Drosophila melanogaster: one gene and its partners. The protein of the gene in region 1 interacts with the protein of each later gene in a pairwise test. Each region holds a gene or a part of one and is shown in the gene's direction. Other genes may lie near its edges. The genes, in order: CG42288, santa-maria, CG2310 and rtv.

Region 1 (6,047 bases):
ATTCTTTCGCCTTTTTTTTTTTTGCCTCGTGCACTTCGGGTTATCCTGTCTGTCTGGCTGACTGCCTATCCTTCCTTTTTGGAAAGTTAAGAGCCTTCGATTTGAAATCCCCTTTGAAACGAGCTCAGTTCTTGGCTGATTTATTGTGCGAATTTGCGCGCACTTTATCCAACTTGCTTAAAGTTTTAGTTATGCCAAAGTTTTGCAAATAAAATTTAAGATAAACTTTGTGTAAGTCTTGACTACGCCCTATACTTAAGGTAGGTATTTGAAGTACTTTGAAGTATATTAAACAAGTATTTATGGATGTGCTTCTTAAACTCAAGATAATTATAGAACAGTTGGAATATTTTCAATTACCATTACATGTGGCTCACTTATCGTAATTCCATTCAAAACGTTCCCTACACGTATTTTCCATTGCCACCTTAGACCACAAAAAAAAATAAAATGAGCCACCGAGTAGTCCATATGCGGCTAAGCTTTCCTTACTGGTTTCTTATCGCCACGAGCCAAAGTTGTTTATTAACCAACCTGAACTTCGGGCCAAACAAAGCCCGTTGAATATTACACGCAAAACGACTTAGACACAACAAACCGGTAAGTAACGCCCACCCAGAAATTGAAGAAAAATCCATTGAATACAGATCAGAGAAGCTTTAATTTCGTTTTGATTAGCAGGCGGAAGTTGAGATGCCAGTGGGGCTAACACTCAACGGCGAACTGTAGCAGCGACATATTGGCGAAGTGACTGATTGTCCGACTGACTGACTGACAGACAGACAGATTGACTGATTGATGGTGTGAAGTTTCACTGAAGCTTGGCATGAGCAGCGCGGATCGGTCATTGAAAGCGAATTCCTCACCAGACCCAATAATACATTTATGGAACCCGACGCCATCGTCAGGTGTCCCGATAATGGGCGACGACGACCGATAAAATGGGAAATTATACAGGCACTCTCGTTTGTCTCTTCGGGATTTACTCAACCATTCCTCAGTTATCGAAGGCTCACAAATGGTTGAGCAAAAAGTGCAAAGAAAGAGGCCTCAATTGGAGTGCAAATATTTGTGCGATGATAGCATGAATTGTATTCTTTATGACGGTCTATATAGGGTTCTATGTTCGGTCGCAAGAGAAACCATGCGATAAGATATGCGGCCAGTTTACTGATTGATATACGACTGTGGGGAAGCAGGAAATTTGTTGGTAACCTGCTATGCTTTCAGGTGGAATAAGTAAAGGGAATATGCTAGATTTCCCAAACCAATGGATTAAGTTATTCCAATGATGTCATATTCTTTAGTTTGCAGCATGAACAACTTAATTAGCCCTTGCTATCTTTCAACAAAACACAAACAACATGCTTCCATAAACTTTAATCGCAATTCACATTGCATGCTTATGTAACTCAGGATATTATTCCCCACAAACAAATATCCCCAAAAAATGGTTAAAGCACGCTCAGCTTTCGGTTCCCACACAACCGATCAGAATTTACAACATAATTTACTAAGCTGCACGCTGACAGTGGAACCAGAGCGGCCACGCCCCCTTGCCAAAAAGCCAAAAACAAGGCAATGTCTGTCACTTGACGCGCTGAATTTGAATTGGCCGAAACGAAAACGGAACCGGCACGAAAGACCCGGCCATGCAATTAGCTGGAGGTCATTGTGTTCGGTTCAGCGAAGTTCATTTCAGTTCAGTTCAGTTCAGTTCGATTCGAATCGATACCAGTGTGATTTCAAATCCAGTTCGGTTTCAGTTTGGGTATCGCCCAGAGTTTCCGTTTGCAATTTTGCGGTTTCAATATTGAATTGGGCGAGGCCCCCGCATTGCATTTACGCTTGACAATGTTTCGACAGCAATTTGCTCAACAAATTGCGATTAAATGTATACAATTGATTGACCATTGTTTGGCTTTCATTAGCACAAAGGAGCGGGGAAGTGCCTTTCATTCGGTGAGTAATTTGACGGCATTATAAGGGCAAATAACCGCTGATCTTGACCCCCTGACCACGCATTTACTCATATTTCAAACTAAGTAACATATGTGAATATGTTAACACGTAGTTCTCCTAATCTGTTGGCCATTGAAAAACTAACCTTCCTTGTGACTGACACTTTTTTTTTGCCTCCCCTTGACAGACTGCCATTCAATTGTCAAATATCTTTGGATCTGCAGCGTCACGATTTCCAACTGGGCGCACGACCTCAGACATTGCAGTTGCCGATAAATTGCATTGAACTTCAAAAATTGAAACTTCACGAGGGCCATTTGGCAGCCATTCGAGGGCGGCTGAGGGGGCGTGGTCGTTTTTATGTTGTAAGGGCACGTGTCAGCCTTTGGCTGCATAAAAATTTCAATCAACAACATCTGTTGAAAAATTGCATTGCGATTCCACAGTAATTGGTTTTTTGTGTGATTCAATGCAAAATGCATTTAGTTTGATTGTGAATTTGTGTCTTTTAAGGATTTTGATCCTTAATCTTAGTGCAAGATTATTATTGATTCAAATATTAAATAACTAACGCAAAAATTTTACGATCAACTGTTCCTTGCATTCTGTTGTTTTGGGCGAAATTCATGTAAAAAAAAATCACAAATTTCTGTAGCGGCATGTTTTTTAAAAAGTGCTGCTTTTTCCTGCCCCTCAACGTGGGTTGCATAATCATTGGAGCCATCTTCATAACATTTCACGTTGGGGAGCTGATAACGCATTCGGATGACACCATTTTCATCAAGCAAGTGTCCCACAAATGGTGGGCACCCGTCATCATGTCTCCGATCCTGACAATTGGAACTCTGAGCTCTATACTCCTTGTGTATGCTGCTTCGAAGGTAAGAGATTCAATTGGTTTCTTTCAAGATTCTAATGCTTTATAACATTACAAATGCAGAGCAAGCGAGGCTTTGTCCTTATGTGGATTATCATCTATGCAATTATACTATCCCTATATTTCCTAATGGCCGTTGTCCAGTTGGCCAGGTCGAAACCTTCGCCGATTATATTGGCCGTTCAGGTGTTCATCATAGGTGGGTGTTGGCCATTTTTGATTGAATATGTCTGAATAATGTCTTGATTTTCATACCCCCTAGTTGGTCTCGTTTATTCCCTGCTAATAGTGCTGGCTTTTTATCGATATTTGAGCAGTGTGGATTCTGACGATTCAATTTGATGAGTTGTAAAATAAATGTTAAACTAACGTGTAACTGAATTTAACTGATCTAGTTTACTTCTTTCAGTGTGTCCCTTTTATACAAACTAGATTTTCAACAAATTTCAGTTTCTCAGGAAAGCTTTGAAAATTGTTGTTTAAAACTTGCAGTGCGGCTGAGGATCGGATCAATCATGGCCTGTCGCTGCAAATATCTGAAGCAGATCTTTACCAAGTGCTGCTACTGCTATTCCCTGCGTTTCGGTGTGCTGCTCTTCGGATGCATTTTTCTAACCTGGTTCATTTACATCACCATCGGCACCGGCTTCATGATGGAGTGCATCTTTCCGAACGAGTATCAGAGGTCCCTTATCCCAGCACCGGCGGCCCTCAAGGCCACCATGGTCTTCTCCTTCTTCGGCATCATAGTTTCGGCCATGCTCTGCCTGGGAGTGCACAATGTATGTGATCTGTCTATTATAAATATTCCCAATATATTTAGCATATGCTTATAATACCTCATAATTTTGTAGAACAACGAGATGCTCTTCCTGCCATTTTTGGTTTTCACACCCATTTGGATAATTGTGCACATTTTTGCCCTGACCGTTTACAGCTTTAATACCATCATCATCATCCTGACTGTCATCACAATGTGTGGGTACCCCCAATAATCATGAATCTAAAGCCTAAATTAAGTATACTATTTAATGTTTTATAGTACTTTTAGTGTATGCCTGGCTGGTGGTTTGGTCCTACTACATAGAACTGCTCTTCGCCTACGAAGATGAACTGGAAACCGGTTATGTGTAATAATAGTAATAATAATGATATTTACAAATTTTAGTATGTTGAGCAAGCATTTGATGTGCCTAATAAAATAATGCATGTAGGATACAGAAATACAGATCATAATTTCGCTTGAGCAGAACTCCATACTATGTGAAGTAGACCCCATTTCGGATGTACATATTTCTCCCCGTTTAGTGAGTATTTAGCGCACATGAGACATGCCCGTGCTCTATATACACCGAAAAGACAATGGGTATCGCAGTGGTAATGACAGTGACCGACTTACCTTCGGCAGCGAGGCGAGCACCTGCTGCTTGACATCCCAAACGAGCCGCTCCGATGGGAACTGCAGACACTTGTAGACATTCAGCTCCGGCACATGGATGCGCACCAGTAGCCATCCGTCCCGCGGCTCCGGCGGCGGCTCATCGTCAAACGCACCCGACCCGGACATGGCGTCCGTATTGGCCGGGTTCTGTTTGACTTTGGGCGTGGGTGGGTGGTATGTCGTAATTTTGACGGCTTTCTATCGCACGGTCCACGAAAAAAAAACGAAGCTACTCCCGCTCCACTGGGAGATCTCCTTCTAGCCGTTCTATTCGCTTAATTTGCTCTTTCCTTATTTGGTTGCACTTCAAAGTGATTTGCCTTTGGGCGTGATGAGCTACTAAGTTAATTTATCTAACTTTTTATTGCCAATCTATTTGGCTTTCTTTTACGGCCTTCTGCTGTTGGAATCCGTTTTGTTTGGACATTTCGCTGTGCTGCGTTCGTTGAGTCTGGCGCATGATGGTTCTGAAATGAATCAAATTAGAGGTATAAGAATAAAATATATTATAATGTATAATATTTCCTTTCCGAATCATAATGCATTACCCAATGAAGCTATTAATTTTCACTCCACTTTCATATGCACTAAATATTTTCGCATAAATTTAGTACACATATGCAAATTGCAATCCATTAAAAGCCTGCTCAAGTCCAGACAACAACATAAAATAGTTTCCCCAGCACTTAATTTTTAAATTGGTTTACTTTTCGAAACTGTCCACTGCACTTTTCCTACGCACTTGATGATATCAGTCAGACGGCAATTGGCCCGATTTTCCGAGCCCCTTTTCATGTCTGCAGGCCTATCTAATAGGAAAAACAAATTGTCAGAGTGAAAAGAAAACACTTGGGCTGCCGCAAACATTTCTCGTTGATGATTACAATTTGATATTGACATTTTATGGCTGCAGCACTGCAATGGCAGTTGCAATTGCAATTATGCACAAATTAAATTCACACGCTAGCTGGAAAGGAGGAGGTGCCACACGGTGGGTGGAGGATTGGAGGCATGTAAATGTGTGCCAAAGACCCGCTGACAGTTGTCGCTTTTGTGTTGGGGAGGAGGAAGGGGGGGGGGGGCGGAAAATGGAGCGGAAAAGCGGGCGGAGCGGGACATGTCGAGGCAACTGGAACTGTGGGCGGAACGGGTTAGCCACCAACTGCAGCAACAACCACATCTGCAAGTCTGCACTTTGTCGCATTTAATTGCGAGCGTGTTGATTGCATTCAACTAGTTAGAGTTGGCATTTCGAAAGGGCGGGGGACGGAGATGGCGGGAAATGGGGGAAAACTAGTGTAAAATGGAAATCGCTTGCGGGAAATGATAAATCCTAATTGAGGATAAAAGTTGTGGGTGCTCTGTCTGAAAGATGAAAGGTTTTGCAGTCAAAGGTTGTGACAAAATGAAAGGCTTTAGAAAAAGGTGGAAAAAAGGAAAGCATTTAAAAGTGCTTGTAAAATCCCAAATAAGAAGACTTTACTCGTTGAGTTTTTGTAAGAAACTGATTTTATTTGGAAATATCTTCGGTTTAAATAGGTGACATGAGAATCGCATCTTAAAGTAAATGGCCTACGCAGAGGCCTAAGTAAATAGTCCCCGCCTTATCGAGGTCCCACGCTCGGGCACATCTGCCTATCTTGAGCGGCGAGGACCTTATCTGTGGTCTCCCACTAAGGGACTATTTTAGGAGGCGGGGAACGATCTCAAGTGACTGACTCATGTAGTGTGCACTTAAATTACATGTTTTTGAGCAATGCACCCATG
Region 2 (10,830 bases), on another chromosome or scaffold:
GAATACGCAATCAAACAGGTGTCCAACATACACAATCTGCTCTGCGACATTTGCCAGACCATCGAGGAATACTTCACATATCCGCTGCTCGGAATCATAGCCATATCCTTTCTGTTCATTCTCTTTGATGACTTTTACATTTTGGAAGCCATTCTGAATCCCAAACGACTGGATGTCTTTGAGGCCGATGAGTTCTTTGCCTTCTTCCTGATGCAGCTCATCTGGTATATAGTGATCATAGTGCTGATCGTGGAGGGCAGCAGTCGGACTATTTTGCATAGCAGCTATACGGCAGCTATAGTTCACAAGATTCTCAATATCACCGATGATCCAGAACTCAGAGATCGACTTTTCCGTCTGTCCTTGCAGCTGTCGCATCGGAAGGTCCTTTTCACAGCCGCAGGACTTTTTCGTCTGGATCGCACACTGATTTTTACGGTGAACTAATGTTGAAAATAATTAAATATTTTATTTATTTAAGTGGTTAATTTTTGCAGATTACTGGTGCTGCCACGTGCTACCTCATTATCCTAATTCAGTTTCGATTCACACATCACATGGACGACACCAGCTCCAATTCAACAAATAATTTACATTCCATTCATCTCGGCGATTGATTAAAATTATATATACACATTAATCAATTAAATTTAAACATAAAGTGTCCTAACGTACAGATGAAAAATAAATTAAAGTTTTCCAGCTCGCAGTAAATTACATTTTTTATCCGTATTTTTTAAGTTATGATATAATATTTAAAGCAAGTAAACATTTCAATTGCACTTAATCAGTACGTTACGTATTCACGTAACGTAAGCCAATCGACAACAACAAGCTGGTTGCTACGTCACTGACTGTGTTGCTGGCTGACATGAGCTGCTTGAATTTCACTAATGAATTCAAATGGATAATGCTGGCCGAGACCCATTTCGAAGCTAAGGGCTGGCTTGACCCACTTCTGCTTGCTCCACTTCACAACATTGCAACATAATCTGCAGCGGTAACTGACTTTTGGCCACAACTGATAGCTAATCCCAGTTAGCACGCCATGTGAAAGGAGGCAAAAGACTAATCCAATAAGGAAGCCAGCCTGAATACGCACTGAAGCAATGACATTTTATTGTTTTATTGCCTCAGACTGCAATCCATGGGTGTTTTCTATGCCATTTGCTGGGGAGTTGTGCCCCTATGATAGCGAAATAAAACAAAAAAACAGTTGAAACTTTGCTCTGATCGCTTGTCGATTTTCGCAGCTTACAAGTGTGTGGGGTTAGTCGTGAATGTTCGCTGTTCACCCAGTGCTAATCATCACGATTAGCCGCATTGATAAGGCTTCGACAATTTGTTATCAATTCGGATTTCTACTTTACGATTTGTTTACTTTTCCACAAGCCACCCGATTCGTATGCGAAAATTCGCAGTTTTATGAAATCTAAGTGCATAGGAATTTCTTTCGCTGATTGTGATTTTTTGAAATGTGACCCAGTTATATTTGCTATTCGACTGAACAATAGAAAATATGTTGACTCTTTCAGTTCATTCATTTCATTTTTATATCATTTGATATTTATTAGATGTAAATATTTAAAAAATATATATATAAGAAACTAAAATATTTGTAAACGTATTTAACAAAGCAAATGGTTCAATTTAGATTATTTCCAAAAATTTATATAAAGATGGTGACACTGTTGTTTCTGACTACTTCTTCCCTTGGATGCATTCTACAGTTTTAAAGTCGTACTCGCGTTTCAGATTGTATATTGTTTAATTCAAAATTCAATGGCACAACTATGAAAAGCCCAAAGCGCAAATTAACCCAAACACCCACTCGCACACACACATACACACCGTTGCTCGGATACTCGGAGCTCTTCTCAAGCCCAATTCCATATACATTTCCATTTCCATGTGCCGCACTTGACTGACATTCATCGGCCGCCGAGACCGCTCCGCTCTGCTCGCGGTCCGTTCGCTGAGAGTCCGCCGCACAGTCGCATCGAAGCCGCCGGGCGAAGCGGTACCATTTTACGGCATTTCCCAGGGACTCGTGTCCACTTTTCCGGCCTCTGTGCAAAGAAATCATCCACGTGCTCAAGCGTTCTGTCCACATCCTTATCGAATTTCAATTTCCTCGCAAGGAAAATCAAAACGTAAAAAAAAAACCGAGGAGCCTGTGATTTGTTTCTATTTAGCAAATAAAAGTCAAGTGAGTGCCTTTAAAAGAAAATAAAGGAAATTTGGAAAGACAAAAGAAAACTCCTTTCGCAATATCACGTAATTTCTTAGCGCTTCCTGCTTTGTTAACACATTACGTTTTGGCTTGATTTGGCTTAATCGCCGGCAGACTTATTAAGATTACAGGTCATTAAATGAAATTAACTCGACAAGAATGAAAAATAGTCGCCAGACAGAAAACCAAATATATATGTATGTACAGTGGCAATCTATATTATACATTCTTTTTGTGTTTATACTGGCTTTGTGTGTCGTCTCCCTTTTGAAGAAATAAGAGTGCCGGAATGCAAAACAAAGGGCTTCCAGCTTGGACTACGAGGCGACCTGTTGATTGTGCGATTAATGGTCTAAAATTAGTCCCAGGGAAAACAGCTGCTCAGGAAAATATTAAGCATGCGCCCCGTTGACGAATTATGTTTTGTAGCTTGTATTTTTACATAAAACGAAATTGGGCGATGATAAATTATAATGAAAAAATAAAAAAATCTAGTATATGTTTTGGAATTTTCTGCAAAAGAACGGCAGCTGATCTTATTTGGTATATAAATAAAAAACAAAACAGTGGTGTACAAAACACATTGCGTATGCGACCTGTTAACCATTTAAAGTTCAAGATAATTAAATATCAACTTGCTCCCAACTAATTGCAGTTGCGTGTGCCTTTATAAGATAATAAATATCTGAAAAACAAATAATGTAAATACTCTAATAGAAAACCAACGAATGTCTTAAAAATTGCAAATTAAAATATTTATTTAAATTTTCTTTATTGTATGCAATAAAGAGCCAAAGAAACTTCACATTCATTTTCCAGCTATTCGCTAATTGAATAATCAATGCCCAGATTGGCGAATCCTCAATAAATACAGCTGTTCGTTGGCAAATTACTCATGGGACCCGTTTAAATATAGTTCAAGATAATCGAAACTAGCCCCTAATAGCATGTTCATTAAAGTTTCGTTTAAGAATTCAACTCATGCTGGACAATTAAAGTCAAATCAATTAATCAATTCACAATGAATTAATTAAAATCTCAAAGGGCTTAAACAACTTTAGTTAATACTGAAATCTTGGCTACGTAAAAGTGGCATTTAAAGAAATTTTTTGATTTAAAGTTCATTAAAAAGAAACAAAATAACTTTCTGCAGTTCAGGGACCTTTAAAAGTACCAAGCCTATTTACGGTTTAGCCTTTCGCTCTTTATTTATAGTTGTTGGCTTTTTTTTAAATCGTCGTGTGTATTTTCGTACTTGAAGGCTGCGAAAACTCAATTACATGCCGATAGCTCGTTATCAAAAAATACTCGCCCAAGCATATGTGAATTTGCGAACTGCGTCAAATCTGTAAGTTGCGGTTTATCTCAATGGCAGCCTTTGTGGTTAAATGGGGTTGAAAAACATCAGGAAAAACTGAGAAGGTGTTGACTTGTCTCACATCCAGTAGACGATCTTAAAGTATCGGGTTTACTGCGTCTGACTTAGTACTTAGAATTTCCGTTTCATATCAAGTGCACTTGCACTCAGGAAGTTAACGCCAAAAAGGCAGATAATTCTTGCTAGAATGTTTCAGAATGCATTCACTTTCGATGTGGCATCACTTCAGAGTTCAGTGTTCTCGGTGCATTTGCATAGAATATGAATAAAGCGTTCGGAGCATTCATAAAAATGTTAATATAGAAGATCAAGAACCAGAGAGTATGACAAGAGCATGCCTAATTTAATAATGAATCAAATATACCGGTCACTAAAATTTAAGCTTAATTAAACGCAATTATTCAGTGTTGCGGCTTCGAGCTTCAAGAGCGAATATCAAAGAACTGCACTGAAAAAAAAACGTATCTTGCTATAAATATTTTCTCACAAAAAGAGATATTCCTGCTAAAATCTCTTAGATTTCCATTCAAAATCTATCCTCGTTATGTGCGGTATTGCTCTTGATCTAATTGAATTAAGCGAAAAATGCGGGATGAACTCTACGTGATGCACCTGTCCAACGTCCATTTCAATTAAAACTCACTTCAGATTAATTGTGAAGACAATAAAAAGGCGCCGACAAATGCTCGACAGCTATTCATCATTCAAAAGACATAATCATATCAATTTACCAGACACCAACCAGAACACAACTGACACGCTCCCAAATAAGCATATATATATGTATATATGTGTATATATATATATAGATTCCTACTCGTATTCATGTGCAATAACGCAAAGTGTCAAAGACCCAACCATAGCTCACTGCGGGGTCAATTGATAGACTCAATTATGACGATATATCACAGAGATGCGAACCTGTGGCATATGTACGTACATATGCAATATTTATGCTCAAGTGATACATAGTGTTTGGTGATGGGAACTCTGGGCAGATTGGTCAAATAATTGCCAGAGGATGGATTCCCGATAAGCGATAAGTGCAGTGCAGTTCAATTTCCTCAATTGTCTGTGGCTTCCTCATGGGTCTGTTTACCTAAGAGTTCAGAATCCGCTTATCGGACCACAGTGAATGCCCCATATAGGAAAATTCGCCTACCGAATGCGATCATAAAATATTTTATCCACATTCATGCATGTTATTCGTAAACGAAATGGATAATTACACGTATTGCTTGCAATGCAGCTTCAAACTATCATAACTAATTAAAACACATCATCGTTGAGTGTCGGGGGAAGCTTTGTAATTATCACCACTGATAGGGGATTCGACTATAGTTCTGTATATATGTACACATATACTTACCGGACTTAGTATATTCTACATGAGTGTAAACAGCAATTGAAAGTCACGCTTTGCTTAAATTGATTCAATTATATTGATAAAAATAGACGCTATGGGAATTCGTCACTCAATAAAATGCTGCGCTTTTTGCATTTTATTTGTATTCAATTCTTTGTTGATTTCTTTGTTCGCCATACTTATATTAATATGTGACTTGATGCATCTGTTAATAAGAGATTTGATTCTACATTTTTTTTATTCTTTAACTAGCACTGCCTGAAAGTAGGCAACATGAACATGAGTTCACAAAATAATATTGTGTAAAGTTATATTTTAAATTATTGTATTATGATTTGTTCATAATGATTTTATAATAGAAAACTTATCAGTACATTCTCAACTTGCACTACATTTATGAGTTCTTTCATTTGATCCATTTTTATATGTTGGCAAATAGACTATCAATTTATCCATTTTCATTGATGTTTCAATGACTTGCATATCATTACAGCCACCATTAGGTATCCACACACCATCGCCCAGCGTGAGCCATGCCAACACAAAACAGCGCAATGTGGGGCCAAAAAAGTAATCGCAAATTAATTATCGGCATTTTCGGCTTTTGCCTGGGACTATTTGGCATATTGTGCGGCATGTTCTGGGTGGACCTGTTCGATTGGATCATGCACAAGGTAATCCCAGTCATTGACAGAGGTTCAGTTAAGTTCATTTCACTTCACTCCAGTGTTAGCCCGGCCAGCTGCATTCGATTAGTGGCTAAAGCCAATTGAAAGTCAAAAGAAAAACAGCCGCCTCTCAATTGGCGCGAGTCAAAGATCGAGGAAAACTCGTTGAGATTTTCAATTAATACCAATTGCGGCTTCTGTTCTTCGACAGGAAATGGCTCTGGCCCCCGACACACGTGTCTATGAAAATTGGAAGAGTCCGCCAATTGATCTCAGTCTGGACATCTACCTGTACAACTGGACGAATCCGGAGGATTTCGGCAACCTTTCCACAAAGCCCATTCTGGAGCAGGTGGGTCCTTATCGTTTTATCGAGCGACCCGATAAGGTGGACATTCACTGGCATCCAGAAAATGCATCCGTCACTTATCGCAGGCGCAGCTTGTTCTACTTTGATGCGGCGGGCAGTAATGGCAGCCTGGACGATGAGATTACCACGCTTAATGCAGTGGCTCTGGTAAGTATCCTATTCCCTTTTATTACATAATATAACTATAACTATACATTTCCATTTCAGTCTGCAGCCGCCACAGCCAAATATTGGCCACCAGTTAAGCGCTCCCTTGTCGATGTGGGACTAAAGATGTACGGTGCCGAGATGTCTGTCCAAAAATCGATCGATGAGCTGCTCTTCACCGGTTACAATGACGCAATGATCGACGTGGCCATGGCCATGCCCATTTTTGGTGATGAGGTGAAGGTTCCATTCGATAAGTTCGGTTGGTTCTATACGCGCAATGGAAGTGCCGATCTTACCGGAGTTTTTAATGTCTTCACTGGCGCCGATCAACTGGCCAAACTGGGTCAGATGCACTCGTGGAATTACCAGGAGAACACTGGATTCTTTGATTCCTATTGCGGTATGACCAATGGATCCGCCGGGGAGTTCCAGCCACAGCATCTGAAGCCCGGCGATAGTGTTGGTCTATTTACGCCCGATATGTGCCGAACTATTCCGCTGGATTATGTGGAAACTGTGGATATTGAAGGACTGGAAGGTTATAAATTCTCAGGCGGACCACGATCTGTAGATAATGGTGAGTCTTGATAAGAATTGATTAATTGTGAGTACCCATTCTATTAGAGATTTATATTTCAGGCACCCAGTATCCTGAGAACCTTTGTTTTTGTGGTGGCCAATGTGTTCCGTCGGGTGTGATGAACATCAGTTCCTGTCGCTTTGGATCTCCTGTTTTTATGTCCTATCCACACTTTTTCAACGCCGATCCTTACTACCCAGATCAGGTAGAGGGCTTGAGTCCTAACCAGAAGGATCACGAGTTTTATATGGTTGTGCAGCCAAGTACTGGTATTCCCCTGGAGGTGGCTGCCCGATTTCAAGTGAATATGCTCGTGGAGCCAATCCAAGGCATTAGCTTATACACTGGAATACCAAGGATATTTTTCCCACTCGTATGGTTCGAACAGAAAGTAAGAATCACTCCAGATATGGCAGATCAACTGAAGGTGCTGCCCATTGTCATGCTCTCCGGACATATATTCGCCGGAATTTGCTTGATCGTAGGCATAACTCTACTCTGCTGGACTCCGGTTCAGATTCTATTGGCTTCCTGTCGAAATCGTAGATACGATCTGAGGACCAAAACCAAAACGAATGGCCAGTATAAGAGTCGCTCTCAATTCTCCAGTGCTGAGGAACTGAAGTCCAAGGCCTCCACTTTGGTGTGCGAAAAGAGTGTCAAAGGATCTCCGGACAGTTCTCCGCTCCTCGAAAAAGGCCGTAAGCCAACCATTATTAAATCCCAGACGGGTGAAAGTGTGGCCACTGCATCCACAGCCATCAGCGACAATAAGCAGGATTGAACAGAACCGCCACATTCACGCCATTTAGATAGTTAAGCCGTCCTAGTGCTTTAGTCGTAGCTCATAGTTTAGTGACACTCTAAAACACCCAACTGAAAATTGCAAGCATTCCCGTGCCTATGCCAAAGATTAGATAGCCTTCGAAGTCGAAACGTCTGGTGGACTTCGCTTAGCTAACGAATACTCTTTTTACATTCCTTAGTTATTAGATATGTTTTGTATTAAAATGATTTCTTGACCCATGGCTTTCGTGTCAAATAAAATCTTCAACTACAAAGGAAATTATCATTTTAGTAGGTTAAGTGGGTAAGATTGCACATAACTATTTTTATTTCATTACAGCTCACAACGTTTGTTTTGAATTTTAACAACATTTTTTTCATCTTTATTAGTTCAATAACAATTATACAAAATATATAGTATATATGGTATCCACTTTAATGCCTAGCTCATGAGCTTGTATCGTGATCATTTTAATTATTGTGAATAATTTTCTTAACCTTACATTTAAAGGGCAAAGAGACTATTACTTAACGTACGACAATATTTGCAATATCACAAATGACCCAACTTAAGTGACTAAAATACGAATCGAAAGGGGGAAGGGAGGATTGTGCGGATTTGGGGGGTTAGTTTTGGACTATTCCTTGTACTATTACTTCTTCATCTTATACCCCTCAGTATACCCATAGCTGTCAGCCACTAAAAAAAAAAAAAGTTAAGTTTATTAGTATATAAAGCCTGATATTGCTGTTTATGAATATCTTACGTTCATAATCCTTGGAATAGCACTCAAAGAATTCGCCCAAAACTTTGCCGTGTGGCAGTTCCCATGTGGCAGAACCACCGTATTTCGGAGGCAAAGCCTTCGCCTCAATATGGGAGATCAGGGACTTGTAGTCCTTGCCATGGAAGAAGATCTACCAAATAGGAATTTATTACATATAACTTAACATTATTTCATGTATTTCTTATTCAAACTTACCCTCTTGCGCAGCTTTTCGCGAATGAATGGCTTGAATACGGCAAAGAGCATATTGAATATATATGAATTATTCACTATGTGAACTGCTTTCAAACGCATGCAGATGCATTCTTGAATGTAATCCAGCAACATGGCGGCAAATGACGGTGTAAATTGTGTAATGTGGCTAAGTGGCAGCCCTGCAAAATGGTTAATATGTATTAAGTAACTTGTATAATTTGTATTTCCTGCCTAGAATTTATTACCTTCCATATCGATAATGACAACTGAGCCGCAAATTTGTGAGTAGGGCTCCACCATAGAACCCAGTACGGTCAATTGAATGCCGCGGAATAGATCCACCAAGGGCACTTGCGATGGCTTCCATTTTTCTGGAGTAATTCAATTATTTATAGACATTTTTTTAGTTGTTTTTAAGAGCCAAACTTACTGCCAGCTTCCAGCACCAAAAGCCGACGGCCGTGTTGATCTCTTTGGGGCAGCAAATTCAGAATATTTGCCTCGAAAACGTTTCTCAACTTGCTGGGGATTATGTTCTCGCAAGCGGCTCCATACTTCAATTTCATGTGATAAAAGTTCTTGAGCTGTACATAATGTAAGAGAAAATAAATAAAAAATATATATATTTAAAGCTTGCATGTTTCAACAAATTACTCACCCTTTTCAAGGCACTTTCTGGATAGTAATGGGTGGGACGCAGGAACATCATCATATACTCATCATCCAATGGCAGGTTCAGGTACTTTTCATCTATTAATTTGGAATTTTTTTTTTAAATTTTATTAACCAACGTGCATGTGCTTTCACCCACTTTGAATGAGTTCCCTGAGTTCCTTGATGGCCTGCTCCTTGACGCCGGGCACTTCCCGCAACTCATCCTGTGCCTTCTTCAGTGCCCATTCCGGCGCTTGTTCCTTCTCCATGCGGATCTGTGCCGAGCCCAGATCGATGTAGGGCAACTTGTGCTCATCGTAGCTAATGCACTCTGCCTTGCCCATGGTGTGGATATGTTGTGTGATCTGGATGCCGCGATCTGGCGCTAGTTGTTCACCGGTTCAAGCTGCGAACGAGAATGAAGTTGTTTTGGTCTCGGCTCAAACATTTTGAGTGGTTTGGCAACCATTTCCTCAAAGCGATTGGCACAACTGGGTTACTTCCGCAGCAGGGCCAAAACCCCAAGCAGAAAGCAAAAGCGGCAACAGTTCAATGCCTCGCTCCAATGGAAACTGTTTTAATATATATAAATATACACATACACCTCGATGTTTATGTATGACTCAAAACTGATCTTCATAGGCAAAAGTCGCCGAAAACCGCCACAACGGAAGAAGAGTTCGCCGGACAAACGGGTAAATATATATAGATATAGAAATAGATAGACTGATAGACAATAGCACCCAAAACTGGTCGCAAAACGTGCGTTCGATGGCCAAAATCGTTGGATACCCTCACCGCAAAGGTTATAGAAATTCGGTCAGGGCGTTTGCTGCACTTCTTAGGTCATTTATCATGATTTTTTTAAAGACTTGTCATATCCTAACGGAATTAAATTATTTAGATGTTTAAATTTGTATAAGTGTGCCATCAATTTGTAAAAATATTAAAAGCACCAGCAAAGAAGAGTTTGAGTGCTGAAATTTAAGTTCTTTTTTATAAGTATGTCATTATAATAGTTTTATAGCTACATAAAGTCAACATTAACTTTTAACAAATACACGTTTTAGAACAAAGAAAAACATAACTATTATTAGTTGGATTTTCTTAGTCTTTGAACAGTCTTTGAACACTCGATCTCTCTATATGTATGATACATATCAACAAGTACGTGTCTCGACTGTTTGGCTCGCAGACGACTTGGCAACACCTTGGCTGCTAAAACAAAATTGGTCAAAATCGACTCGATGACGTAGCACTTGTGATCTATGCCCTGTCATGAAGGACTTGACAATGGCACAGAAAAATTCGGACTCGAAGTTGAGAAGTTAAAGAACTTGGTCGGTGGATTGAGCCGCAGAGTAGTGCAAATCGGTGTTGGCCATTAAATTTGATTTACTGCTGCTCTTATGATTCAAAGCAATTAGTACGTTTTTTTGATATTGACTTTTTTGTGCGGTCAACGCGAATGAAGGTAAAAGTCAAGGCCAAGAGCAAAGATTGTTTGATATTATTAGTATAGTATAGTAGATTGAAGCCGTAAAACTTGAAAAACTTGGAGCCAGCATAGAGGTAGATTTGTCATTCCGGCAAATGCGTTGCGGCTTTTTAATTTTCGTGGCTTCCAGAAATTTCGTCAATGAATCTTGGGTAATTTATGCT
Region 3 (7,128 bases), on another chromosome or scaffold:
GCGAATGTGGTGCTATATATTCTACGGGTGAGTGAATCTATAGATACTCTCTCTTACGCCACAGACTGGCTCTCCCAAATGAGTGGGATCCCTAAGTAATATCCCAAACCCATCGTACCGTATCGGCGAAGGGACTGCGAACTGTGCCGTCGGAGAGGTAGACCTGCGATGCCTCCACGGCCAGCTGACCCCAGATATCGGTGGATATATCCATGGCTGGGTGTGGATGATTCGGAACCACTTGCTTATATAAAAAAAAAATATAGCTACACACGGGGCAAACTACGCGTGCTCTGCCTGCGAGGCGAGAATATCCGTCGTATCGAGCTACTTTCGCGCTACTGCGAGCCGCATTCCCATCGACGTGCCATCGGAATCTCCAAAGATCCGCCAGGCAGTAGTAGACTCAAGAGAACCCTAGGCTTATTTATAGACCAGCGCCAGTAACGAGAGCACTGCCACATCGCATCACTCAATCACTCTACTTTCGGATGCATCAGCTGTGCTGTTCACGGGCGACGCACCACACCACTCACGCACTCTTTAAGAACAAATAGAACCACTAGAACCACCAGCACCACTCACCCAGCGGTGCACGTGGAGAAACATGCTGATAAAATCCCTGCCAAATCTCTTCCTTTCCTCGTCAGATTCAAAATCATTAGTAAGCTGTATAAAAGTATCTCGAGATATTTTACTATATTTTACTTATATCTAAAAGTATCTGATATTGCTGATAGTATCTACCTTTTGTAGGTTCGGATAACCTATGGATTCATCTTAAGATATTTCTACTTCTTAGATACTTTAAGATGCATCTGAAAATGCTTCTGTTTCCCGAGGAATAACCTTCTGAGCTTTATCCTTTAGCGCCTACTTTAAGATACATTTCCGCACAGCCTGCTTTTGCATATATATATTTAATAGTAATAATAGATTTCGAACCCCTTTTACTTTCTCAGTGCACAATGTTTGTTGCCAAGAATTCTATATATACGCCATCGTTCGTCTGTCTGGCTTTGTTTTGTTTACTACATCTAATATGTATATCTATCTGCACATGTGTATGTTCTATGTACAGGGTACTCACCAGTCGGGTCTTCACCACGCCAGAGTCGTGGAGTCCGATGGCCTGCGAGGAGGTTTGCGCTGCCAAAACATTCCAATTATCCATGGTGGGCACTGCGCTCTAGTTCGCGATTTGGATTGGGATCAGCCGGAAAGCTGAAGGTGTTCGCTGTCTCAGCTGTACAATATGTATGTATGTATGGTCTTGCTGGATCCGTCCGCTTCTATCTATGTATCTATGTATCTATGTATCTAACTAAGGGAGGAGATGTGCCGGCTATACTCGCATGAGATACATTCATTCATGAGCTAAACTATTTCTGCAAGGCTTTCCCAATTAGTCACACTGAATTCTGAGCATTTCAAACTAATTGTTATTTAGAAATTATTAGTTTACAAGCAGCTAAGCTAATTAAATTACCACATTTTGAAGCAAATTAATAGGAAATCTATATTCAGTAGTCTATTAGTTCTGGAAAGTATAAGTATATTAAGTAAGCAAGCGAAAGCAGTTAGTTAAAACTTCGTTTTTACTATGTTATTTACCCATTTGATTAGTTGATCAAACGAAATTGTTAGACACTTTCCGCAAATAAACGAGTGCGAGAAGGAAAGCTTTTAATTAATTAATTAATTGATGCCCGCAGGCGATTAAAATAGCAAATTCACAATTATGCAAACTCAGTGAACACACACACATTGTTCACTTGCGACTTTTGATTTTCGACGAGGATGGGCGTCACATCTGAATTTGTTTCATCCTTCGCCCGGTTTATTAATAGTTTTCCCTCAGCTGGTGGATCTGGTGGAAAAAACTGTTGGGGTTGCAAGTGCAACGTGGAAAGTGCAGTTTCGTAACTTTAGCACTTTCGTTGCAAGTTGAAAAAAAAAACTAGGGAAATTCACTTGGCAAATTCACTTATTCTGTTGCAAATTACTGGCAAATCGGATTGATAAATTCCGGCGAAAATCGACGGATTCTGCGGCTTTACATGGGCGAATGCTCCGCGTTCTCGACGGCTCCACAACTCTGAGAAAACTGAGAAAATCAGGCGTCCGCGGAAAATGGTTTATGCCAAAATTCACTCGGCTAGTTGATCGTACTACATGCGGAGTACATGGCTACATGGGCATCTGGGGATCTGTGGATCTGTGGATATGGAGGGGTTATTCGGGGCGATCTCTGCGAGTGCAGGCGTCATTTGCTTTTCCCATGGCGAGCGGCCAACAGAGGGGCGGTTGCCCAGGGGGCGTGGTCGATCGTTGGGAAACAGATATTACAAATGCTAGAAACTACAAAAAATCACTTCTTATGATTTGAGCACTGGATTTTATTCAAAAATTAGCCCATATCATCTCAGATTTTGATGATAGTTGTTTTTTTTTTAGTATAATAGTTTTAGTTAATAGCGTAATTAATGGAATTCAAGATTAAAAATAAGAATAGTTCCTAGTAATCAGATTGAACTGTTTACATTTGATTAGAAAGTGGGAACCTTATCAATTTCATGCATATATAAAATAAAATACACATAATTAATTAGTAATTTCTGGATGCAATTAAAGCTTCTCTTTATTGTTTATGTGATGCAAGGGGTTAAAATGGCAGCCTGGTGACTTTGATGATCTGGATTCCGTACTGCTGGTTCCTCCTCACAAATTCCTGTGACCAATCGCCGCTCAGACAGCCGCCGTCGCAGTTGCAGCCGAAGATGTTGCACGATCCCTGGCCGCAGTAGGCGCCCAACTGGGCAACACCATCGGCGCAGATCGTCACTTCGCAGCCGTTGGGATAGTTTTCGATTGCACGCACAGCCTCGCAGTCGCCTCTGTCCATCTTGAATTCCACCAGCTCCCGGGAGGTGCAGCATTCCGACCGAGCCACATGGACAAAGGCCAGGGCGCAGATCCCGACGAGAAGCAGGCTGACTACTGGGGATGCCATGATTGGATTTACTGGGAGAACTAATGCTTTTCACCCCGGCAAACAGCGATTTTATACGCTCACAGTGGGTGCAGGGAATTCGCTTAGTTGGCAAATGCGCTCCAAGTTATTAGGAAAATTGATTAGGCCCAGTTCTCGGGAAATTTACTTCTAACATAACTCAAACACATAGTCATGAAATACTGTCTAGTTACTGCGCTTTAGTTTAAATAAAACTTGTAATAATCAAAAATAAAATTTTAAACACAGATCACTTGTAACGGAAATCCCATTTGAATTTTGGTGATCGGCGTTGCCAGACGGCTAAAAGCGTTAGCACTAGCGGCCCGTTCTGATCAGAACGCAGTGGCGAAACGACGGTCGTTCAGTCGTTTCTTCGCCGCTCAACCGTTCGGTCGCTTCTTCGGTCGCCCGCCTATCGATATCGATAAACGTAGGTGTGCCTGCAGTGCGCCTGTGTGCGTGTATGTGTCAGCAGTGCAGTTTTCCTGTTTATCCCTGAATTCTGTGAGAAATGTGATATAGAAACAGCATTAGCGAACAACTAAACGCTTTGCGCAACCGAAATTCAGCTGCTTAAAGGGACATCGAAAGTGGTAGCTGCAAACATTATAGTTTGTTTATATCTGGTACAGTGCGCGTTGCAACCTGTTCTATGTGTGTGTGTTTGGGCAGGTGCGACAGTGTGTGTGTGTGTTAAGGGACGCCCAAAGAGTTGTTGTTGTTGCAAAGTTATCGATTTTAAATTTCAAGAGATGCTCACTATCGTCAAAAAAAGGAGTTTTTTAAACTAATCAGATAAGCTAACAATTGTTAGTAACTTCTTAGAAAAAAGCTTCGTTACAAACTCAAAATTGCTGTTAAATTTGAACAGCTAGTAATAATGTTCTTTCTCCATTTGAGGAAATGTAAAACGAAACCCACAATTGCGTTTAAGCAATCATCTTGAACGAATTGGGCATAATTACAATTAGATGAGCAATTAGAGCGCTCGAAAAGTGGCCAATTAATTAACTTGACTGCCCATTACCATAAGTACTTTAAAGTTGAATTAAGATCAACTTGACCTGGCTGGGGATCAAAGATACCCATATTCTATTCACTATTCACTTGTCCGCTTATTTCAGATACTCCTGCGAGCAGATACCATTCGCACGATGTCGTACTACGCGGAGCGAGCCCTGTCCCTACTCTACCCGCTGGCCATCGTTTCATCGCTGGTCTGCTGCATCACCTCGGCGGTGGCCTGGACACACTGGCAGTACGTGCTCAATGCCTGCCCGGACACCAATTGCGGCTGCGTGCTGCACGGCAAGAGCACGTTCCACAGCTTCGAGGGCGGCAACGTCGCCTACTGCCACTTCGCCACCTACGGCCTGCTGCTGCCGCTGCTCTTCGCCGTCGTCCTGGGCGTCTACCACGGCTACCGCATGTGCATCGGTCGGGGCAAGCCCAAGGCGGGCACGGCCACCATCCGTCAGCGGTAAGAGCGGGCGATCGCGATCGAGTGTCGGCGGGTCAATGGGGTTAATCGGCCAGCCACACTCGTTCGTCTGTCTGGCTATGAGTAATGCCATCATGGGCTCCAACTTGGAGCAGCATCAACTGTTTGCTTACGCCTCTCTGCTCTCTGCTTGCAGCTCCGGTGACATGATCGTGGTGACCACCGAGTCGGAACTCACGCCCGATGGTCTCTCGCCCTACTACTGTGAGTGTCCATCGTCTCCGAACTTAACTATGTACAAATGTGTAATACTTAACTAATTTAGGGCTGCCCGCCACCGTCATCTCGACAATAATGGCCGTCTACCAACTGGTCTACTCGGCCGTGTTCACGGATGGCTTCGAGGTGACTTGCAAGCAGTACAGGGAGTCGCTGCTGAAGGAGATCCAGGGCGTGGGCAACATTGTGCCCGTGATCAAGTCGCGGCTCTCGTGCGCCGCCGTCTTCGACTTCATGGACTATCTGGTGGAGAGCGTGTCGTACGAGCGGCGACGCTACGGGCGCATCAATACGGCCGCCTGCCTGTACTTCACCCTGGTCTTTGCCTGGATCGCACTGCTCGCATGGCTGCTCGTCTGCGTGATCAATGTCGTCCAGCTGCGGCGCACGAAGGCCGCCAGGGTCTGAGTCCTGCCATGAATCGGGAGGCGCGAGGTCCTCTACACTTTACATTCCACCTGTTCGCCTTTTAACTTATTTAGTTAGTTATAGTGACACACAAGCCAGAACGTCCACGTTATGAACGCATTGTACAAATAATATACATATGTATGAACAACGAGCGATTATTCACATCGCAAGCCTTTTCAATAAAATGACTATAATTGCATTAAAGATATGCATGCATACATATATGTAAATGAAGTTAAGTATTTTAAATGGGCTATTAGTTTGCATTAATTGGCGTGGTTTAAAATTATATAAATCATTTAAAGATGCAACATTTTTGCCTTCTATAAACTTATTTTACATATTTTGCATAAGAAAAGGTGAACTGAACTTATTTATTTTGTTTCAAGAGCTTACTCTGCAAAGGAAAACATCATTTAGAGAGTAATAATCTCCGTTTTGTTTGCATATTTTAAATTTAAAATAATAAAACACAATTGAAAGCTACAAACAATTTCGCTATTTTTCAAACACACTTATTTTGAAAAAGAGGGAAATAAGCATGTACAAAAATAATGGGAAATTCACCGAGTTCCAAATTCCAGTATATTCTCATCCCCTTGGCATTTTTCGCTCGGCACGGTCACACCATTCGGCTGCTGACGTGCCGCAAAAGAAAATTGTTTACGCCGAAAATTGTTGAATCGCAGCTTGTGAATTGCACAAAATGTTGGACATCCAGACGCATATGGTAGGTATGCTTCGCAACCATTAGCACATAACACTAACACGGCACTCTACCGCCGCAGGACTTCGCGGGTCAGGGAAAGGCGGAGCGCTGGTCGCGCTTCATCATCACGTTCTTCGGAATTGTGGGCCTCGTCTACGGAGCCTTCGTGCAGCAGTTCTCACAGACCGTGTACATCCTGGGCGCCGGATTTGTGCTCTCCTCGCTGGTGAGTAGCTGTCGTGTTAGTAGCTCCATTGCTAACAGCACGAGATTCCTGCACAGATCACCATTCCACCGTGGCCGCTGTACCGTCGCAATGCGCTCAAATGGCAGAAACCCATCGATACGGACGCCAAGTCGTCGAGCTCCGAGTCCGGCGACGAGGGCAAGAAGAAGAAGAAGCAGTAGAATCAGTGGGATCAGTAGTTAGTTAGGCCAGCAGTTACGTGTACTTCTCACTACATCCAATATAATATATATATATACATATGTATGTCCATTAGAACGCTAGATGGGTCGTCGGTAGGCGATGAGGTCGTTGTGGTCATAGTACTTGTGGATGAGATCGTACATGTGGGCGAAGAAGAAGAGCAGATTGTCGTACTGCCCATTGTAGGGCGCCTCCCTGCCCACATTCTCACTGGCAGCTGTCTTGGTCAGCGGCTCTGCCAGCTGATGGAAGCCCGCGGTGATCTCCAGGTTATCGAGTCCGCGATAGGCGGTGTTCAGGCCCCAGGCATTGATGTGCACCTCCAGGAGGAACTGGTGAATGGCCTCGATGGTGGCCAGATACCAGCGCGGACTGCCGCGCTGGTGGCGCCAGAATTGCGACAGTCGATTCTGCAGCACCACCGTTCGTAGGCCGCGCACCCTGGCGTCCGCGTAGATCCCGCGACTCTGGTTCCATGTGCTGTCTATGAAGACGGCTCGGCGGACGGGCAGGTTGTCTAGCGTCCAGGTTCGTCGCACCGTCTCCGGCTCATCTACCTCCTCCTGCAGCTCCTTTACCTCCACCTCGTCCATTCGCCTGCGCAGCATGGTGCCCATGTGGTGGCCCTTGGGCAGCCCGTAGTTGTCGCCGATCTGAAGCTGCACATTGCGCGCGAAGAGCTGCGGCACCGCAAGCGCAGTGGCGCTTGGGAATATGAGCACTACGCCCGCCTCCTCGCGATAGTCGGGAATGTCCGGAAATGTGTGGATCCTCACGTGCGCCGGCGCCAGAACGGCCGCGTGCACCGCCGAGCTCTTGCCGTCGATTTCCTTTTTGTGCTT
Region 4 (6,813 bases), on another chromosome or scaffold:
CAAATCTCTTTTTTGCAACATTTGAGGTTAAGTAGAGGAATATTGGTAGAAAAAGAAATGACAACATGCCAATGAAATCAGCTGGTTTGCGGCTCCAAAAAATAGAATAAAAAAAATGGGAGTTGCCGGCTATCGGAAAGCAAATTACAAAGTGTAAGACGAAAAATTGAGTAGTATTAGTTACCAACGGGCACAAGTTGAAGATAGTAATAGTAGTAGTAGTGGTGGCAAAAAGCAACTAGCGAACGTCATTTTAAAAGAAAGTTATCAACAAATTGAAGAGAAGTATGGAGCGCCCTCTCCGAACTTTGTTTTTGTTTATCTTCTCAGATTCTCTCGTTTGAGATTAAATTTTATTGCACTTTGCATATTGGGTAGTTATTTGTCGATATCATATTGTAATGTACAGAGTTACATGCTCTGAAAGTTAAGTATTATTACAATAATGGTTCAAATTTCATATTTTTCCACCTCGAACTACCTACCTACTTATTTGTTCTATAGTTTCTGTTTTTTTGGTAACTGATCTTATATCTTGAGTTATCTTGGTGCTTGCATTTTGGGGGATTACGCATATGTCAATTGGGGTTGTGTTCCCTTTTTGGGAGGTTTACTTGCTGAAGTAGTCGCTACTACTGCAATTGCACTCACCATAGGTTCTCCTTTTCCGCGGCCGCATCCTTTTTCTTCATGGTAAAGGATGATGTCAGCGCATTCGTTTGCGTCCCACTGTTCATCGCCATGTTGTTGTTGGTGCTGCAGCTGCGGTGCTCCTATTGGAACGCTCTCCACTCCTGGCTGGGTCCAATTGGGAAACGGGATGTGCTGGCGCTGCAACAGAGAGTGCTAAAGAGAGAGAGGGAGAGTGGAAGAGAGGGAAGATGAGAAACAGTTGGCAAACAAAAACAAACACATGCGCGACAGAGCGAGACGGCTGCCAGGTGTCGGCTGCATATGATTTAGCAGTCTATTTAAATAATTTTACTGCAAGGCTGCGCACTTGTATTATTTTTGTTTAATTCTCTATGCATTTGTCACCACGCTCTCTCTCCCACCCACTCTCACTTCCAATTCTGTTGCTTTAGTTACGACGCACAGCTGCTGACAAATTCGCAAAATTTCCTCTTCTACTCAATCTATCTCTCTCGCTCACTCTATTTTCTTTCTTTCCTCCTTTCTGATTGCCCACTTTTTTTATTCCGTTTCCTACGTACGCAGTTTCTCACGCTCTTCGCTCTCCTCTCCAGTGAAAACTCGCGCCCTGGATTTTCACGCACGTCCTCTCCGCTGGACAGCCTTTCGATCGTTTCAATTAGACAAGGCAAACTTAAATAATATAATGTATATTTATGTGGAGAAGAGCCGCGTTCGTGTGCGTTTCCACTGGAGTTTTTTCAGCGCCGTTGCGTCGTCGAATCTGACTGCCTCTCCTCTTCACTGCTCTTCTTCTTCACTTCTGCTTTGCTTTGCTTTTCCTTTCGCACCAATTATTCGTGTAAAAATACTGCAAAAAATACCGATACCAAATGGTGACCCGGGTATGGTCACACTTGGCACTAGCAGGTGCGGGAAATACCGTTCCCACAACAATCACTTTTGTAACTATTCTGTATTTCTTTTTGTACTTTTCTCCCGGCGTTTATTTATTTATATGGCTGGTAAAATGATAGCAAGAGGGAACGCTTTAGTGGAGGTACTGACTATCAGATACCCGTTAAATTACTTCGAATAACGAGTAACTAATAATTAAAAAGTAAATATTCCAATAACGATTTGACGCTGCTCATAGATGTCGCTTTAATCTCATTGTGAACTTTGATCGCATTTCCAGCAGATGGCGCTGTGGCAAAGCTACTATTTCTGGTATCTACTAAAATTCTAGCATTTACTTATGCAAGCATGCAATAGTATCGATACTATCGATAAATTAATCTAGCTAGCATTATTTTGGAATATATTTTTGAAATAATTAATCGTTGATAAAATTGTAATTTTTGTATATATGTATATACATATATTTATATTAAATAACGTATTTATTTATTTTTGCAGAGCTTTTTACCTTTTGGATTCGCTGGAATTCCAGCGCCTGGTAACACTAATTCACGATTAAACTTCCTTGACTTAACATTTACATATATTTACTATTATTCATTATTATCATTATTGACTAGTTAGTAGGCGAAATAAGAAGACGGGACCATGCAATTTACGAGCCTTTTACTGGCTGTGATTTTTCTCATAAGTCTGGTTTCAATCGATGGTGAGTTCGTGTTCTCGTTGAAGTCTTTTGTTTAAGTTGCATATGTGTTGTGTGTGTGTGAGAGAGATATAATTCGATTTTCACATGGGGAAAACGGCGAAATCAAATTAAAAACTAACTTTTTCCGTTGTATTGTTATTTGCTTAATTGTTCCATTTGCATATTATTTAAAATTTTCATTTTTAATTCACTTTTAGATTTAAACGCTCAGTAAAACCATGTTTTAAATTTTAAATATTTGAACTTTCAATTGTAGGCCTTCTGCGCCGCTGCTATCAGTGCCGATCCCGTGGCGAACTGGGCAGCTGCAAGGACCCCTTCACCTTCAATGCAACGGACGTGGAGCAGGAACCGGGAGTGGCGGCCATCCCGTGCGCCAGCGGCTGGTGCGGCAAGGTGATCGAGGGCGGCGGCACCTATGCCATCGACGACTACGACCTGGCCATCCAGCGGATGTGCGTGCAGCGCGGTCCGGACGACAACATGGATCGCTGTGCGGACACCATCTACAACTATAAGAAGGTGTACATGTGCTTCTGCCAGGGCGACCTGTGCAACGGCGCGAGGAGCTGGTCCAGTGCACCCCAGATGATCCTCATCACCATGCTGCCGCTGCTCGGCTCCTGGCTGCTCCAGCGGATGCGAAACTAGACTGTTTGCTTTCTGTGCTCTTAGCCGGCAATGTGTATATACATCTTCCAATACTCAGCAACACTCAATGTAATATCAACAGTTCGATAAATACAAACAATTTTTTGTTATTACTTAAAATCGAATGTTCTTGCTCTGCTTAAGATTTTATTGCCGTTTACTCGTGCATTTTTTCGTATCATTTTTCCGATCGCAAATAAGGTACTTACATTCAATATGTAACCATTGATTATGGCTATATATGGCATAGATCCCGACTTCGGGTCAATCAGCTATCAGTGGAACAGACTCGATTGTTTGCGAAAAAGAAACAATATGAATATTATTCATATACCTAATTAAATCACTCCTGCTGCGTAACACCATTCTCTTTGTTTGCAAATAGAATATCCATTCGTTTTAATTAGTATATTTATAAAATAAGAATATAATAATCATTTATATAATCATATAATCATTTAAGTAATAATAAATTTTAATATAAAAACACGAACTCAGCATACCAACTAGGGTTGATTCAAATATATACAATCCTTTATGCAAGAATGAGAAACATTTAACATCAATGGCTCACTTGGCAACGCACTACTTCTCCAACTTATCTTTTTCGCGCAAGCATGGGGGGCAGCGAGAGTTCTGCAGCTGCATCAGCTGGCGATTTTTGGTGAACTCGTGGCAGTCCATGTGGTATAATCCGCTGCACAAGTGGCAGTACATCGCTTCGGTTTCTGGGAAAAAAAAAACAAGCAAAACAATAAAATATTAATAAAATCATTAAATGGGTAATACGAATTTAAGAAAACCAACTCAACAAGTTTGTGGTTGGTGGATGACTCACCCACACGACGTTTGCATTCACGGCACTCGCGGCATTTGCGGCACTTGGAGGCACCGCCGTCTTTATGCTGACAGGCTGATGAAGACGCAGTTCCCGATGCGCCAGATCCTCCTCCTGCGCTGCTCTTCTCCGAAATCTCGTCCGGCGACTTGCTCTTGCGTGTGTACGTCCTCTTCGAGTTGGCCTGCAAACGTTTTTCCGTCGGCGAGAGCAGGAATTCGGACTTCTCCTTGGTCTTCTTCTGACCACGAACGCCCATGACTAACGCGTCCACGGCATTCAACTGCTGGCCATAGTGAAAATCCACTCCGCTGGCATTCTGAACGGTGCGACGCTTGCGCTTCGAGTGGCGCTGACTGAGCTTCTTGAGCACCTCCGGCGAGTAGAGCTCAAAGAGGCCGAGGAACGTCTCCTGGCCGTACTCCTCCGGCTGGGTGCGGCTCTCGCGCGGCTCATCGCGCCACTGGGCGGCGGATGCGACGCGTCTTTGCTGCTCCTGCTGCAGCTCGGCACTGGAATCATCGGAGCTGCCGGATGACGATACCGCTGGCTGCGACTGTCCACTGGATGTGGGCGTTGGCGAGGATTTCCTGCACGTGTTTTTGCTCTTCGCGGTATTATTCTTCGCCATCCCCTGACTAGACATTTGTGGGATGGTCTTCTTGGCTGCCTGATTGGCGGCAGCATTCGTTGGCTCCAGCGATGGCGGTGTCCCCTTGCCATCGCTGGTTCTGTTCTTGTTGCGATCGTTCTGCAAACTGGTGATCTCCAGGTCCTCCTCGTCGTCGAACAAACGTGGCTGCTGCTTCGTCTTTCTGGCCCTTCTCAATGCCTGCTGCAAGTTCTTGCGACTCTGGGCCACAACGTGAAAGTTTACTGGTGGAGATTCTGCTTGTGGTGATGGAGGTACTTGTGACAACTCAGCCACTACGGTTTGGGTTATAGGCGCCAAGGGCGGCGGTGAGCTGCGGCTGATATTCTCTCGCTTGGCCGGGGTCGAATCCAGCGACCCTTTCATCAGCTTCGACTTCGATTGTGGCGGCGGCGGTGGCACTGATACTGTCGCCTCATCGCCTTGGAGCCACTCTGGCTCCGGCTTAACGGCGGCGATCTGCTGACCCAATCCCCTAACCGGCGGAGCCAGCATCAATGGTATATTCTCATCCAATTCGCTGAGCTTAAGCGGCGGCATACCAGAATCATCGTCCTGGCTCAGCAGGAAGTGCTTGCGAATAAGCATCTCCTCGGTATCACGAGCCATCACCGACTGTGGCATAATCTTATAGTTGGGATCGACGATCAAAGGCACTACCTGGGCGGAAACGTACTCATGGGCGATGTCCGGCAGGAACATGATGTTGTTCTCCTTCAGCTTCACGGAGAATTCCTGTAGGCTATCGTTGAGGCGTAGCAGAAGGAACTGCTGCTCGGCATTGATCTCGTACACCTCCTCCTCCAGTTCGTCCAAGATGCGACGCATCTGCACTGGATCCTAATGACGACAAGAACGTGAGTGTCACATTAGGTGTGGCTGGGATTGTTAGGTGGAAGCTGCACAGGTGCTAATGGCCATTAAAAACGCTAATGACCACAAGCACTGAGCAAAAAAGGGAATACATTTCAATCACAAATGAGGTTGAGATTGATGGATAAGGATGCACGTTGGAAAAATATTGAAATAAAGCGGCATTAAAGAATATGCGCATTAATGCTGTTAAGAAATCAGCAATATTTGCTCATATAGATGATGGATTTCGTCATATACATAATTCTCATATGTCTTCTTTTCAAAAAAAAGTGAAAGTAATTTCGAAAAAATTCAGAGATGCGAACGTGGTTCCTTTGGAAATGAAAACATTTGACCCAATTTTTGTGCATTATTAGTTTTGCTTAAAACGCAGTTGCCTCTTTCATGTTTCTAACCCAACTCTAGAAAATTATCGCGAGTACATCAGTTTCTTTGAAATGAAAAAACTAAACTAAGTACTACGTTTCATAGCTTCATCTACATACAGTTCTTTGTTTTGGTTTTTTTTTTGGTTGTGTGTAGTGGGAGGGGGGTTGGGTGGTGTTCTACGGGCGAACACCTTCACCCTGGGGAATCGGGAATTCTCGTGGCGTAGAGAACAAAGGACAAAGACTTGCAGTCTTCTGGCATTAAACCCACCGCATCCGCCTGCTCATCGAAGACCTCCGAGACCAACTGCGTAAGTGAGAGAACAGAGACAAAGGAAACAAATTAACTGGTGTTCGCCAAGGAGCCATGGTGCACTTACCGCGTGAACCTTGAGGAAATCGCGCAGCGATCGCTGGCAGTAGATGATGTCGTTCTTCAGCTCCAGCGGCAGCACGTAGTACTTCTCCATGTAGTACCTGAACTTGGCGTACTTGCGCTCCTTATGGTACTTGCTCATCTTGTTCCGATTATATTGACGCTATATATATAACGACGGTTATCGTACGAATCACGCACGCGACTGATTTCGGATGCGTTGCAATTGATGCACTTGTGGGAATTTTGGGCAAATTTTCGAAAGGGAGTGGGGTGGGAATTGAAACCGAATGTGGTTAGAAAATGTGATAGATTGATCACTACATTCGTAACTGATATCTGGCCGAGGAACTTCGCAATTTAAGATAAAAATGTGTTGCATCAACTGGTGGCGTTGCCAGATAGATGAATACATGTGCTCGTTCTCGTAGCGAATTTTTAATCTTAATATGCGTTTAATTATGAATTTGGAGAAATAAGGACGATGTGCGTCAATAACTTCGATGACGGAACGGTGGAATTTTTGAACATGGGGAAGTTTTTTAAAAATTAATTTTTCGTTATTTAGTGTTCCAAAATGCACGCAAGACCATCAAATTAGCGTCGATGAGTTAGAGTCGATGGCGGAACGGTGAAATTTTTGAACATTGGAAAGTTTTTTATTATTTTTTTTTTTTTTATGGGTCAAAATATGAACAAGCCTATACAAAAAAGTACCCATGAAAGTCATTTATGTTTGGTGTTGTTGACAGAGCGTGTTCCGGAATGCCGTGCTTATAGGCTTATGTA

What was found.
Region 2: the proteins of CG42288 (region 1) and santa-maria interact in a two-hybrid assay, tested with the Drosophila melanogaster proteins (one large-scale study listed by BioGRID).
Region 3: the proteins of CG42288 (region 1) and CG2310 interact in a two-hybrid assay, tested with the Drosophila melanogaster proteins (one large-scale study listed by BioGRID).
Region 4: the proteins of CG42288 (region 1) and rtv interact in a two-hybrid assay, tested with the Drosophila melanogaster proteins (one large-scale study listed by BioGRID).

What each region holds. Positions count from the first base shown.
Region 1 is NT_033778.4:14,087,755-14,093,801, forward strand, and holds CG42288 (uncharacterized protein), read left to right. Parts: upstream 1-3,276; 5' UTR 3,277-3,354; coding exon 3,355-3,621; intron 3,622-3,693; coding exon 3,694-3,817; intron 3,818-3,881; coding exon 3,882-3,973; 3' UTR 3,974-4,060; downstream 4,061-6,047. Other genes in the region: prosap, read right to left, coding at 4,239-4,406; CG42287 (uncharacterized protein), read left to right, coding at 2,622-2,843, 2,903-3,038, 3,102-3,181.
Region 2 is NT_033779.5:7,442,328-7,453,157, reverse strand, and holds santa-maria (scavenger receptor acting in neural tissue and majority of rhodopsin is absent), read left to right. Parts: upstream 1-1,913; 5' UTR 1,914-2,209; exon of another isoform or gene 2,210-5,470; 5' UTR 5,471-5,510; coding exon 5,511-5,651; intron 5,652-5,856; coding exon 5,857-6,162; intron 6,163-6,222; coding exon 6,223-6,742; intron 6,743-6,804; coding exon 6,805-7,529; 3' UTR 7,530-7,803; downstream 7,804-10,830. Other genes in the region: Gr28a (gustatory receptor 28a), read left to right, coding at 1-438, 498-617; CG5973 (uncharacterized protein), read right to left, coding at 8,185-8,231, 8,299-8,449, 8,515-8,693, 8,760-8,885, 8,945-9,098, 9,173-9,264, 9,326-9,512.
Region 3 is NT_033777.3:29,489,764-29,496,891, reverse strand, and holds CG2310 (uncharacterized protein), read left to right. Parts: upstream 1-3,373; 5' UTR 3,374-3,642; intron 3,643-4,140; 5' UTR 4,141-4,170; coding exon 4,171-4,496; intron 4,497-4,653; coding exon 4,654-4,721; intron 4,722-4,782; coding exon 4,783-5,144; 3' UTR 5,145-5,368; downstream 5,369-7,128. Other genes in the region: FipoQ (F-box involved in polyQ pathogenesis), read right to left, coding at 119-214; diedel, read right to left, coding at 2,666-3,013; Spase12 (spase 12-subunit), read left to right, coding at 5,854-5,877, 5,936-6,082, 6,139-6,264; CG2006 (uncharacterized protein), read right to left, coding at 6,364-7,128.
Region 4 is NC_004354.4:11,149,067-11,155,879, reverse strand, and holds rtv (retroactive), read left to right. Parts: upstream 1-1,889; 5' UTR 1,890-1,987; intron 1,988-2,052; 5' UTR 2,053-2,202; coding exon 2,203-2,263; intron 2,264-2,305; exon of another isoform or gene 2,306-2,392; intron 2,393-2,519; coding exon 2,520-2,914; 3' UTR 2,915-3,396; downstream 3,397-6,813. Other genes in the region: Dlic (dynein light intermediate chain), read right to left, coding at 652-743; Lint-1 (l(3)mbt interacting protein 1), read right to left, coding at 3,500-3,642, 3,753-5,244, 5,920-5,955, 6,029-6,166. UniProt on the Drosophila melanogaster protein: Required for chitin fiber assembly and organization involved in cuticle formation and tracheal development.